Linked DNA regions of Lonchura striata. The protein of the gene in region 1 interacts with the protein of each later gene in a pairwise test. Links are inferred from orthologs where the notes say so. Each region holds a gene or a part of one and is shown on either strand. Other genes may lie near its edges.

Region 1 (3,702 bases):
AGAGAGACAAAAAGAGAGGTAAAATACTTAGGACAGATTTTTTCCAAACAGAAATTAAAAAATAACTTAAAAAAATAAATCTATTGTTTGAGGAACTAAAGCAATTCATGTTAAGTTGCTGTCTTATTACACATCCTGCTATGGCTCAGAATGAGAGTCTGAAAAGGCAGATTAGCACAAGATTAGCAGAGAAAGCTGTCTAGACTCAGCCAAACTCCAAGGGAGCCATTCACACTGACAAGAGGCAGCACCCCTTGCTCCCAAGTGTCCTCTGCCAGCATGGGTAGGTTTTTGGCATGGCAGATATCCCACAGAATCACAGACTTTGAGATCATTGAGTTCAATTGTTTCCCCAGCACTGCCACATCCACCACTAACCCATGTTCCCAAGTGCCATATCTATACATTTTTAAATCCCTCCAGGAGTGGTGACTCCACCACTGCCCTGGGCAGCCTGTGCCAGGGCTTGGCAACCCTTTCAGGGAGGAAATTTTTCCTAACACGAATCCAAAGCTCCCCTCCCATCACTGTTTCTTTCACTGGATCATACCATCTTGCTGCCCTGTCTGGCCAGGGTCAGTGGTGACCGATGGGCTGGGTGTATTGCTCTGCAAAAATCGACGGAAGTCCTTAATCATGGGGCGGAGGACCTGGATGAGGGCACTCAGCGCTGCCTGCGTCCCCTCCATGGCCTGTGCCTGCCGCTCCTGGGCACATGCCTGCACCTCCTGCGAGCGGCGAATCATCTGCAGCAAGTCATTCTGCTGCTCCAGGTGCTGGGCAATCTCCTTCACGTGCAGGTTGGTTACTCGCTGCTCCTGCAGGAGCTTGGCTGAGTTCAGGGCAATGCGGCTTTTCAGCTCCTGGGGCTTGGCGGACACCTCGTGTTGGTGGGCCATCATCTCCAAGGGCGCCTCCGCAGTGACGGTGGTGGGGGCTTCCGTGGTGCAGTACTCCACAACCCCGTCCTCCAGACTGTGGTAGGTTGTCTCTGCAGGAACTGAGAACAAAGGACAGAAAGGGAGTCAGGAGTAGCTGTGATACAGGATTTTTATCTACAGGACTATTCAGTGAATACCACAGGAATACGGCCTGTTCAGCGAGATAACATACAACGGCCAGCAATGCACAAAATGACCTATTTAAGTCTACTCCACCCTCACTCGAGCTTCCTTCTGGGCTGTACAATCCAAAGGAACAGGGAATGCCTTATCTGTCTAGACAATATAATTTCTCAATCTCCAGTTTAGAACAATCTTTCCAAACAGCATTAACTGACTGACACAACAGCAAAGACCCTGAATGGCCCCTGTTGGCAGAAGAGCTGCACCTTGGGAAACTGCACGCTGGAAAATCAGCCCTGAAGAAGTTTTTCCCTGTGCTTTTGTTCCCAGAGAGGGACTGAAGAATTTCCCAAGGTGCACAGGATCCTTGATTCCCTTATCCTCAAGGCTGAGTCCAGCTGTCAAAGCTGACTTTCAGTACCTTCATGTCCTGTGGCCACTCCTACACCACAAGGGCAGAGTGGGAGGAGCATTTCATGACAGAGATGTGGGGATTTCTTTCTGTTGGGGTTTCGAGATCTCCGCCCAAAGAACCCGTGGGCACCCTATCCCTGGAAATGTTCAAGGCCAGGCTGGATGCAGCAACCTGCTCTAGCAAAAGGTGTCTCTGCCCATGGCAGGGGGCTGGAACTGGGTGCTCTTTAAGGTCCTTTCCAACCGAAACCACTCTGTGGTTCTGTCCCCACACAAGCTCGGGGCGTCCTCGCAGGGGGGTGTCAGGGCCTTCGCTGGCCCTGCAGTGCAGCGCAGAGCGTTCCGGCGGGCGCAGCACTCACTCTGGGTCAGGGTGACCGTGGTGGCCGAGGCGGTGATGGGGATGTCGCTCCCGTCACCCACGCCGCAGTCGCCGCTCGGCAGGCTGATGATGGTGGCCTCTCCCAGCAGGTTGCAGATGCGCTGCTGCATGGGGGTGAGGATCACCGGGGCGGCCGCGCCGCCCGCCGGGTCCTCGCCCTCGGGCCCGTTGCCGCCGCCGTTCTGGCTCTCGCCTCCCCCTTCCATGGCAGCCCGCACTTGGGCCACTTTGCGCCGCACCTCGGTCTTGAGGTCGGACCACTTCTTCTTGACCTCGGGCAGCTCGCGGTGGCAGGTGGCGACGGCGTTGACGCGGCGCAGGATGTCGTGCCAGGCGGCGGCCTTGGCGGCCAGCGGCACGCCCGCGTTGAAGTGGTTGACGAGGAGGTGCTTGCCCCGCTCCAGCTCCTCCACGATGATCTCCACCTCCCGCTCCGAGAAGTTCATCTTCCGCTTCTTGGCTGGGGGCGCCGGCGGCGACGCCATGGCCATGGGGGGCAGCGGGGACGGGGCACGGGGTCACACCTGAGGGGGCCTGGGGGGCGCTGGGGACGGCCGAGGGGCGGCAGGGCCCCCCCACCCCCGGGGCCGGGGACAACAGGGGGGCCCCGAGGCCCCTCAGGGCCCGGAGGGGTCGGTCCCCCCCGCTCCCCCTTTGGCACCGCCAACGATACGCAAATTGCGTACGGCGCCCGCCCGGCAGCCCCGCGCAACGGCCCCCGCCCTGCGGCACTGGCGTAATGGCTTCCAGAATCGGCCCCTCTTCCTGCCACGCCTGATTGGCTCGCCCGCCTGTCCGTCACACGAGTTGCCCGCCTCCCGTCTGTATTACCGCAGTACTATTGGTCAACAGCCCTGTCCATCAGGCAGACAGGAGGCGGCCCCGCCCCGCCGCTGGTCTCAGGGCACTGGGCCTGCGTGGGGCCGGCGAGGGGTTGGGCCCGCCCGTGGATTTCCTCGCTCCGATCCCATTGGGTGCTGCTGCTGTCCATCACCCCAGAGCGCGCACTGCTTTCCAACCTACCGGGTGCGCGCGCCGTCCGTCCAGCTCAAACTGCCCGGCGGCTCCGGCTCTGATTGGCCGCGTTCTGCCCAGCACCGCCTTCCCGCGGGCTGCAGCCAATCGCGGCCCGGCCCGCGCGCCCGCCCCGCTCCCTGTGCATCACCCCAGACACCGCGGCGCTCCCTTCCCATTGGTGCGGACGGGGGCGTCCCCTCTGACGTCGCGACCCGCCGCTCCGGGTGGGCGCCGCGGGGCGTGTCCCAGGGCGTGTCGCTCGCTGTGATTGGCCGGCGCGGGGCGTCACGTGGCGCTGGCGGCGCGTGGCGCGAAGGCGGAAGCGGCGCCATTTGCCGGTGCCGCGGGCGTGAGGGGCGGTCGGTGTCGGCGCGGCCATGCCGGGGGCGCGGCGCTCTCTCGCCTCCCCGGTGGTCAGCGGCGTTCTCTGCCCATGCGGGTCCCCGCACGGATCTGCGGTGGAGAGCGGCGGCGGCGGCGGGGGGAACGCGGGGTCCTGCGGGCGGTCGGTCTGCGAGGCCTCCGAGCAGGACCGCCGTCTCCGCGCCTTGTTCCAGAAGCTCGACGTGAATCGCGACGGCGCGCTCTGCATCCACGATCTGGCCGTGGGGCTGGGCCGCCTCGGGCTGCACCGCACCGAGCTGGACCTGCGGGTGAGCGGCGGCGGGCGGTGGGATCCGGCCCGGCGGGGCGGAGCGGTCCCGCGGTCCGGGCTTGAGGGAGGGTTTGGCCGCTCCCCTCGTCCCGTGTCCGCTCCGGAGCCCTCTCCGTGCGCGTCTCGGGAGCGGGACGTGGACTTTGGAGACCTTCCAGCTGTGTCTCGCC
Region 2 (2,794 bases), on another chromosome or scaffold:
GATGACAGATTGTCTTTATTCAAAACGTCTTTGTTCAACAAATGAAAAGGTTTAACGAGGTAAAATCCTGCCGGATACATCTTAGTTTCTGTTTCTTCTTGCCCAAGACATTGTGAAAACATATTTAAATTGCCATCGGTTTTTATTCGGTATTTCGTTAGTAGTAGTAGTAGTAGTATTAATTTTTTTACAATTCTACTGCCTGACTTCATACCTGACGCTCTGTCTAAAGTAAACTTAGATCTAGTCTCACTGGATCACACAAATTTAAGGACTATCTGTTTTAAATTAAGCAAACACTATCATAGGTTTTAAATATAAGTGTTTCTCCCCTTCTTTTTTTTTTGTCTTTTTTTTTTCTTTTTTAACTTTGAAGAGCCTTTTTTCTGACATGAAAAGCAATTTTACCTAGTAATACGTGGTGGCAAAATATATATATATTTATATATATATAACACAGCTGATCTCGTTTTTCAATGTGCAAAAGGAAAACAACGAGGGGGAAAAAATAAAATCAGAGTAAGACCGGTACTTCCCAAAGTCAAGTCCAAGTGACATGAGACCCTGGAGAACTCATAGACATTAAGAGAATAAATAAAAATCGAAACCGCCTGTCTCTTTTTTTTTTTTTTTTTTTTTTTTTTTTTTGTCTTTTTCTCCCCGCTTTGTCCCGAAAGGGCAGTTCAAGGTTCGCTTTGCTTTTCTGTTTTTAAACACATTTACAACTCTTACAAGTGCCGGGCTCCTATCTGCCCCCGCGATTGCAGATCCCCCCCGAGCCTGGGGCCAGCTCTCGTGGCGAGCTTTAGGCGAGAGCATCTCCGAGGCAGCGTCCGCGTCTGTCCCGGCCCGGCGGCGGGCGGCAGAGTCCTGGTTCGGGCGGCCTTTTGCTCCTGCAGGTTTTATGTACATGCACACACGGAGGATTCCCAGTTCCAGCTGCCGGCCGGGGTGGGGGACACACGCACACACACACGCCTGTGGGGGTGCGGGTGGGTGGGTGTTACATGGCAGTCGCGTGTGCTGAAGAATAGGGGTCTATCCCAGTCTTGGTCATGCCAGGGAATAATATGTAGGCAACTGGAGGTTGCAAACTGGAAGCCGACCAAGCGGTACAGTTACATGGCACGACATAGCCCGGGTTAGTTGGCGAGGGGTGAGTGTGGGTGTGTTGGCTGGGGCAGCTCAAGCTGCCGAACGCCCCGTTCTGGTATCCCAAGGTGGAGGCGTAGGGCAGGGTGCTGGTGGCTAAGGTGTGAGGAACCTCAGTCATCTTCTGAATGGCGCTGGAGCTGAACTGGCTGGGGTCAAGTAAGGAGTAAGGTGCTGAGGTGGGAGGCAGGAAAGCCCTGGCCTTCTCCGGGGAGCTCAGCAGCGAGTCAGTGGCCCCCACGGGAAGCCCGGCGGCCTTTAAGGGATCTGTTTCCCCGAGGTAAGGCAAAGGGAAGACATACCTGTCCTTTTTCAGCAGGTTCTTGGGCTTGCGCCGGGGCCGGTACTTGTAGTCGGGATGCTCCTTCATGTGCTGCGCCCGCAGCCGCTTGGCCTCGTCGATGTACGGGCGCTTCTCCGCCTCGGAGAGCAACTTCCACTCCGCGCCCAGCCGCTTGCTAATCTCCGAGTTGTGCATTTTGGGGTTCTCCTGGGCCATCTTGCGCCGTTGGCCGCGGGACCACACCATGAAGGCGTTCATGGGGCGCTTGATGTGGTCGCTGGGCTTGGACATGCTTCGGCCGGGCGGGCGGGCGGGCGGGCGGCTCTGGGGGCGCCGGACGGCGGCGGCAGGACCAGGAGGACGAGGAGGAGGAGGAGGAGGAGGAACGGCGGGAGAAGGCCGGGGGAGCCGGAGGAGCGGCAGGAGCGGGCTCAGCTGATCATCACAGGTCCTCCGGCAAGGCCGTCCCCGGCGGGAGCCGTGCCGGGGCGGGGCGCGGGGCTGCGCGGAGCGGCGCGGAGCGGAGGCCCGCGGGGCCCGGCGGGCACTAGGCGGGCGGGGAGCCGCCGGGCGCAGCACCGGGCCGGCGGTGGGGACGCGGGGCGGTGCGGGGCAGTTCAAAGGCGCGGGGCTGCGGCGGGCAGGCTGACATAGCGGCAGGGCGGTCACAGAGCGGCCGGGCGCCCAATCAGCGCGGAGGGGGCCCGCTTAAAAAGAGAGGGAGAGAGGAAGGGCGAGAGGAAGAGGAGGGGAGGGGACACAGGAGGGAGGAGGAGGAAGGAAGGAGGGGACAGGAGGAACCCCCCGCCCCCCACCGCCTTCTAACGCGCGGATTAAAAGGACGGCTTTTGTGAGTTGCTGCGCTAATAGCAGCTGTGGAGGAAGGGGGATGGAGAAGGGGGTCGTCCCCATCTTCCTCATCCTCCCCCATCCCTGGGGTGCGCGGAGCGGGGCCGGTCCCGGCGCCCTCCAGGCTCCGCCGCCGCCGCCGTCGGGGCTGCGAGCGCCGCGCTCCGCCGTGCGCCCGCCGCTGTCCGCGTCCCCCCGCGCCCCCGTCCTCCCCGCGCTCCCGGCCGCTCTCTCGCTTCCCCAGCCCCCGCCTTCCCCGCTCCGCAGCCCCGCTTAACCCCGGGAGCCGGCCCGCGTCCCGGCTTGCTTTGAATAATTGCCTGCCTCCCGCGAAACGCCCGTGGGGAAAATATTTATTAAATGGAAACAATTGTCCCGGCTCCCGTGGGGGACCGCGTTTGTTCCGGGCTTATTGGTTTTTAGCACCTGCTTTGGTTAACAAACCTGCTCCGAAAAGGTCCCCCCGGGCCGCCCCCTGCCCCCGCCCGCCCGCCTCCGACAGCGGCCGGG

Evidence for each region.
Region 2: the proteins of NAIF1 (region 1) and SOX14 interact in binary tests that used the Homo sapiens proteins (3 or more experiments, as listed by UniProt). The two-hybrid records come from large-scale screens. The link is inferred for Lonchura striata from reciprocal best matches to the Homo sapiens genes NAIF1 and SOX14.

What each region holds. Positions count from the first base shown.
Region 1 is NC_134624.1:788,121-791,822, forward strand, and holds NAIF1 (nuclear apoptosis-inducing factor 1), read right to left. Parts: upstream 2,363-3,702; 5' UTR 2,352-2,362; coding exon 1,841-2,351; intron 1,001-1,840; coding exon 537-1,000; downstream 1-536. Other genes in the region: mitochondrial adenyl nucleotide antiporter SLC25A25, read left to right, coding at 3,255-3,530. UniProt on the Homo sapiens protein: Induces apoptosis.
Region 2 is NC_134612.1:5,765,094-5,767,887, reverse strand, and holds SOX14 (transcription factor SOX-14), read right to left. Parts: upstream 1,727-2,794; coding exon 1,004-1,726; 3' UTR 630-1,003; downstream 1-629. UniProt on the Homo sapiens protein: Acts as a negative regulator of transcription.